2 linked regions of the Macaca mulatta genome follow. The protein of the gene in region 1 interacts with the protein of each later gene in a pairwise test. Links are inferred from orthologs where the notes say so. Each region holds a gene or a part of one and is shown in the gene's direction. Other genes may lie near its edges.

Region 1 (3,826 bases):
AGTGGCTCACAATGATCTTCCTGAAAACTCCATTGTCAACTATGACTCCCAGGCCCTAAATATGTTGGCCGATCTAGCATTAAGCTCTGCTACTTCTTCCACACCGGTACCTGAGCCTAGAAATCTTCACTGTTCCTCTGAATTGCCACAAAATGATGTTTTGCTCTCTAAAGAAAATTCTTTGCGAGGTACATCTGACCATGAATATCACAGAGGAGTTAAAAGTCAAAAAGGTGAATTACTTCCTAACCCATCTTCTGATAGGAAGAGTAATTCTGAGTCAGACTTAATTGTTAGCCAAGATGAAGAAAGCTTGGTTCCGTGTAGTCAGGCCCCTGCTAAAGCCCAGTCAGCACTTACTGAGGAAATGCTAGAATCTTCAGATGCAAGTCAAAGCTCTTCTGTTTCTGTGGAACATTCTTATGCCCTGCTCCTTAGAGAACATTCAAAGAAAAATCTACAGGAGAGAGAGATACCAAGCCCTGTGTTTCCCAAGAATGGGACAAAAAGCCCTGAAGCAGTAACCCCAGTGGGGAAAGTCATGCCATTTCGGCATCAGCCTGGTCTTTTGCTTCAGCAAAAGCCTCCTGACGAGCCCATGGTGAAGCCCAAGGATCGACAAGCGTCTTCCCGTGTGAAAAAATCTTCTTGCTCTCGTATAGTGTTTAGCTGTGATGACTCCGTTAAGATCACTTTCAAATGTGAAACAGAATATGCATTCAGCTTAGATAGCAAATATACCAACAACCCACTGGAGAAAACTGTAGTAAGAGCATTACATGGGTGAGTATGAGTGAAGCTTGGTGAAAATGGATGAAATTTTTCTGTTGAGATGAATGTAGTGAGATGGGGAAACTTGTGCCAAACTCTGGAGAAGGAGAAAGAAGTGTGTGTAAAACCAGAAATTTGATAATAACATCAAGCAAACATGTTTCCTGGCAATAAAGAGTAACAGGCTGGTTTTCCCCCTGTGCTCATGTGGAGAACTTTTTAAAGATAATTTTAGCCTGATGAATAGCTTTCCAATTTGCAGTGCTCCTTCGTAAGCCCTTGTGGCTTTTGAATTTCAATTTTTACATGAGATCTTAATGTAAAATAGTGTGAGATTTAGAAATAATGCTTTACAGACTGAATTCCAGAGGAAACATTTTAAAAATCACTTGTAGCTTGGTAAATTGGTCAGACTGATAGGACTAAGCAGTTTCACATAAGATTGTTCTATAGATCTCCCTCAAGAAGGAATCAAGGCAATAATAACAGAGTGTTGACCAGCACCACATCTTTGGAGTGTAGGTTTGAACCCGGGTTCTTTCCCTTTCTTACCTCCTGTGATCCTGGGCAAGTGTCTTGCTTCTGGACAGTGCTGCTTAATTGCGTGTGCTGCTCATCTAGAGATTTCACTGAAGTGCAGATTCTGATGCATTCTCCTCGGGGACGGACCTGACATTCTGCATTTCTAACAGATTTTCAGGTGACATCAATGGTGGATGACAGTCTGTCGCCAACACTTAAGTATGTAGCTGCATCCTGAGGTTACATATATTGGGATTTTTGCACAGTGACTGGCCAGTAGTAATAATAAATGGTAACCATTACTGTTAGCAAGAAGCACTCGTTAGCTACATGAAATGACATTCAGCTCCCTATTAATGAACTATTTTACATCTGACTATATGGACTCTACAGCTGTCAGGCTTTCTTCCGTACACATGTTCATATATACTCATAAAGGTCATTTCCTTAGAACTTCCTGTTTAGCTGTTTCCCAACTCTGCAGCCCCCCTAACTTATCATACTCTGGCGATCTGCCATCCTTTTGCCTGCCAGAGGGCCAGAAATGTTTTCTGTCTCCCTTTACAGTTTCAGGATATTTTTCAGAACTATAATCTGAAAATAGTATAGTTCTGTTGAATTGCCCAGAGAGAGATTTTATCTTCAGACTTTCTCAACTATTAGAAGAGAGACACAAAAATGGAAAATAAATGAATCAGCCAGACTTAGCAAACGCATGGTGATGAGGATTTGGGTATTGGTGAAACTATTTCTACAATAAGTATTTTGTGTCCAGAGTGAATTTGTATGACGTAAAAGACACGTGCTACCCATGTTCAGATCATGGTTCTGCCATACAGGTTTTGTGATTTGAAGGAAGGCAATTACATGTTCTGATTCTCAGTTCCTGTCTCTGTAAAATGAGTGGGTTAGATTGATAATTATTTGTTAAGTCAACTACATATTTACTCATTCATGTTTCATATCTGTAAATTTTAAAAATAACAAAAACTAAGGTTAATGTTGGAGGCACTTGCTTATGATAAGGTAGGTAATCAACTAAAATAACCATTTTCAATGATTTTCATGTGTTCTTTCTGTAAACTCTTAGGCCCTGGAATACTGATTTGCCTGATAATGTGGAAGAAGTGAAGCTTTTACTTCATATGTGGGTAGCTCTGTTTTACAGCAATCAGAACAAAGTCATACGATCTTCCCGAAAAGTTGTAGAACACAGCAACCCAGCAAAATATGTGTCTATAAATAGCACGTTAGAATCTTGTGAGCTCAGTGAAATTGAGGAGTGCCTTGGTTTGGAAAGATGTTCTGCAGACCCTCTCTTGGAGACTAACGAAATTTCCAGGGCTCATGCTGCTGAAGTGTCCTTCCGTGATCCTAACTGCTTGCTTCCTTTCATTAAAACACCACTTACCCAAGGCTTGGAACTCTGTGTACAGAATGAACAGAAAAAAACTTTTGCAAGAAAGCGTCATCCAGACACCCTAGAAAACCAGGATTTCGTCTGTTCTTATAATAATGAGGTACGTTAAGCTGAATACTGTTAAATGTTGGCATTATTTTGGAAGAAAAAAAGTTTATATGTAAAATCACATTCAAAACAAGGCATTTTTAAATTTTAGGACAGTGAATTCTCAAGGTATGTAAAGAACTATTACACCAAAAACTTAGTTTTCATGAAGTGTCCTCGAATTGTCTGCAGGTAGAGCTTACCTGCCATCCTGATTGAAAAAAAACAGAGTAGAAAAGTGTCATAGGGTTCACATGACCTGGGAGCCCACCATAATTTGAGGCAAATTGCTTATTTCCTTAATTTTTAAAAGAGGTGACTAATGCCTGTCATGTCTTATGTAGAATATTGTTTAAGGATCAAATATAGCAATAATAAATATTAGACATACTTTGATAAACCGTAAAGTAAACTAAAATTACTTGTATTAAAATTATGTTTGAAGACAGATGCTGGAATAGTAAAATGCCAGACCTGTGAGAGAAGACCCATTGCAAATAACTATTTGTAAATATGGAAAATATACTTCGTTTTGTTCCATTGTTCTCAACTGACATTCAACCAGGCCAGATAATCCAGATTTTACCTGGAGCAAATCTCAAAGTTGTTAACAAAATTCTAAGCAAATGAATTGATAAAATTACCTACCTTTTAAAGCTTTCAACCCAAATTTATTCTAGAATAATATTGCTTGGGTTAGGGCAGCATCTGTGATTCCTGTCTTAACAAAGAGTAGACAGTGTTCCTGTACCCGGGGTCACTGGGGACTTGGAGGTCCTTGGGTGAGCCTCACAGAACCGGTGAATATCTTCAAGTGATTGTCATCATCATGAGAATTAAAGATTTCTGAGTCACTGTGTGCCGGATAGTGAGTGTTCTCAGCCCTTCACTCACATGAACTCAGTTCATTCTCAAATAAGTTAAAGACTATTAATCTCCCCATTACACAGATGACAAAACTAAAGCACAGAGAAGTAAAGAAATTGCCTAAGGTCACATAGAAAATTGTCAAGCCAAGATTCCAGT
Region 2 (3,826 bases), on another chromosome or scaffold:
AGGGACTGAGGCAGGAGAATCGCTTGAACCCAGGAGGCAGAGGTTGCAGTGAGCCAAGATCGCATCATTGCACTCCAGCCTGGGCAACAAGAGCAAAACTCTTGTCTCAAAAAAAAAAAGAAAAGAAAGGAGAGTATCATTGATTAAAAACTAAATAGATAATGTATTCGGTAGCTAATTATAATTAGTGATGTGGGCTTGCTATTAATGATTTTGCTTATTATCTTTTTTATTATATTTCAGTACTTACATCCTTGTTCATGTGCTAATGCTTTATATGTATTATTTCAAATAAACTCACAATTCTATGAAGAGGCACTCTTAACTCTGTTTGACAGATGTGGTTCAGGGAATGGAGTTGTTTGTCCTCGGTTTGACAAGGGCAGAGCTGGAACTCAAGTCTGTGTGAATCCATAGTCCAGGATCTTAAATACACGTTAGGATAATCTCTTTCCTTGTTGCCAATTTTTAATTTTTAATTTTTTTTTTTTGGATTTTTTATTTTTTTGCTCTGTGGCTTTAGGAAGAATTACTGAAAAACCTGTTAAGACCCACAGTGATATTTGTTTGAGCCATCAGATGGCAAGTCTTGAAAGTCCCTTAGCTCCAATGGTTTGAAGTAATCATTTTATTATTAAGACACAAAATAGTTACACCAACATTGTGGTGAATTTCTCGGCTGCCCAGACTGGAGTGCAGTGATGCAATCATGGCTCACTGCAGCCAAGTGATTCTCCCACCTCAGTTTCCCAAGTAGCTGGGACCACAGGCACATGCCATCAGGCCTGGCTAATTTTTTAATTTTTGTAGAGATGAGGTCTCCCTGTGTTGCCCAGGCAGGCTGGTCTTAAACTGCGAGGCCGCTGCACCTGACCTGGTGAATTTATAAAATAAAAAAGTATTTGCTAGTGGCAATAATCAAAAGCCATCAATCGATCATCTTTTCCCCAGCCCAACTTTATTAAAGTAAATATGATATCAACATATATCACTGCTCATATCTAGAAGTGTATACGATTTTAAGATTTTGCTTTTTTTCCTATCCTTTCTTAGGTGTTTGTAAAATGTATGAAGAACATCTGAAAAGAATGAATCCCAACAGTCCCTCTATCACATATGACATTAGTCAGTTGTTTGATTTCATCGATGATCTGGCAGACCTCAGCTGCCTGGTGTAAGTATTGGCCAACATGTCTGTTATCTTGTATTTTCTATTGTTTTTCTGTCTCTTTGAGGTGATTTATGATATTGGGAGCTAACTATGTGCCTGACACTGATCTTTGCATTTGCATAGGGTATAGTAATTAATATTTCTCTTACAGAAATAAGAGATTGGCAACATAAAGCCAAAGGCACAGAAAAAAAGAACTTTGCTAATTGATATAGTTAGTATCCAGTAAGGATCCTAATTAAGACGTTCCATGTCCCTGTTCTTTGTTCCTTATACCTAATATTTTTTTTCCTTTACAGTCTTTGTCCTAAAGCCATTGGTTTGGGATTAAAACTAAGATTATCTTTTTTTCATGACATTTCAAAAACTTAAATATGTGTAGGGCTGAAATTGAATTTAATTTCAATCTTACCCTGTGTAAATATATATTTTTTGGTATGTAATAATGAGATTTTTTAACATATTTGTTATAGTTTGTATTGATAATCTGCTTCTGACAACTGCTAACAAGTAGCATAAAGTATTACTATAGACTTACCTAATCTTTTTTACATTAATGAACAGAAATTGAGGGTAAATACAGCTCATTTAACTAGCACCTTATGATACAATACTCAATCATCAGATACTTGAATACTTATTACATGCCAAGTGCTGTGCTAGAAGTTGAAAGAGCAGTGATGAGAAATATACAAGTCTTACTCATAGGCACTTCCTGGATCACCACTGGAGCCAGTCCTGGAATGTGGCTGCACCATGCTGTCTCCCCAAAAGCTCCAAAACATGCATTTCCTTGGAATGTTTGAGTTTTGTTTTGTGTACTTCTTCATTGTGTTCCAGTTGTAGCCATTTCACTTTGGTCACTCAGAACATTCAAATGAATGTTGCATGGTACTTTAAGCCATCCAGACATCCATAGGAAAAACATACCAGACAGAGGGGATGGTGGACAGCTTGTGTAGAAGTCCTGAAGTACGGGTGCCTGGCATGTTTGAAGTCATTAAGGAAGACTTTGAGGCTGCAGAGGAATGAGTGAAGGAGAGAGTCTTAGGAGATTGGAAGGTAGGGAGCAATGATATCCTGGAAGCCAGTGCAGAAGTGTATCGTATCATCGATAGGTCAGATAAGTAAGGACTGAGAATTTAATTGACCTCTGGATTTCACACTGTGGAAGTATTTGATGGCTTCCAAAACAGTTGTGGTATAGTGCCAGGAGTAAAAATGCTTACAGATTTCAGTGTATGGAAGGGAATGAAAAGAGAGGATTTATAGGTGGCTATTACAGGCTTGCTTTTTTTTTTTTCCCCCAAAGAATTTTGCTTGAAAGAACAGAAAAATGGGGTTGTAGCTGGAGAAGGAAATTGCTTTTTTTAAGGTGGAGAAAGTAATGGTAAGTTTGTAGGCTGATGGGATGATCTACTAGAGAAGGAGAACCCGATAGCTCAGATTGGTTCTTGGACAGTTCATTCATGAAAAAGGGAGGACAGGCAAATTTGGGAGCTGGGGGGAATTATCTTCTGTATGCTTCAGTTATCTCGGAAAGATAGGGAGCAAGGACACCATTTGAAACAGGTGTTACAGGTTTGTGGAAAAGTAAGAAATAAGCTAGGAAGGTGAAAGAAGTAGGGAACTGCAGTTAATTCAGGGATGTATTAAGTGTCCTCCAATGTACCTATCTGATAATGATTTAAAGTGAAATCAGTCATTGTGATCATGGGATTTTATCCTAGTCTCTTTCACCTGGATGGTTACAGGTGAGGAGTAGGTAGAGAGTAAAGATGTTGCTAAAGGTTGAGGGCATATATGAGGATAACAGCAAGGATTGAATGACCATGAGCTTTAATTGGGTATGTAGGAGGAGGTGCTGGAAACAGGTAGATAAGTTAATTGTAGGTCCCACTGGATCAAGGATTGCTCACATTAGAGTGTTAGGAAGTGGTGGTCAGAGAATGACATGCTTGAAATTAGGAAATTGAAGTTGTTAGTAATGACAGGGTCTAGGGATCTGGCCAACAGATGGTAGGAGATGAGATCATTAGAGGAAAAGAGTTCATGGAATTGGGAGGCCTAGGTGTTGACAGAATCATCCACTGGATATGAAATTACCAATAATGTGTATATTAATTTATAGAATTTAAGAACAAGTTGCTTTGTTTGTGTTCACTGCTGCATCTCTGGTACATAATTAGGGCTGAGTAAATATTGATTATATAAATGCACGTCGCCGGGTGCGGTGGCTCAAGCCTGTAATCCCAGCACTTTGGGAGGCCGAGACGGGTGGATCACGAGGTCAGGAGATCGAGACCATCCTGGTGAACACAGTGAAACCCCGTCTCTACTAAAACTACAAAAAACTAGCCGGGCGAGGTGGCGGGCGCCTGTAGTCCCAGCTACTCGGGAGGCTGAGGCAGGAGAATGGAGTGAACCCGGGAGGCGGAGCTTGCAGTGAGCTGAGATCCGGCCACTGCACTCCAGCCTGGGCGACAGAGCGAGACTCCGTCTCAAAAAAAAAAAATAAATAAATAAATAAATGCACGTCATTCATGATGTTGTTTGAGGCATAGCTTTCTAAAATTATTGATAATTTTCTATTTCCCTTATTTGTATTACAGAGCTATATTCTGCATTGATTAAAAATTAATGGTTGTCTTTATG

Evidence for each region.
Region 2: the proteins of TASOR2 (region 1) and ERH interact in binary tests that used the Homo sapiens proteins (3 or more experiments, as listed by UniProt). The two-hybrid records come from large-scale screens. The link is inferred for Macaca mulatta from reciprocal best matches to the Homo sapiens genes TASOR2 and ERH.

The regions. Positions count from the first base shown.
Region 1 is NC_133414.1:7,299,643-7,303,468, forward strand, and holds part of TASOR2 (protein TASOR 2), read left to right. Parts: coding exon 1-783; intron 784-2,383; coding exon 2,384-2,813; intron 2,814-3,826.
Region 2 is NC_133412.1:142,569,327-142,573,152, reverse strand, and holds part of ERH (enhancer of rudimentary homolog), read left to right. Parts: intron 1-1,053; coding exon 1,054-1,174; intron 1,175-3,826. UniProt on the Homo sapiens protein: May have a role in the cell cycle.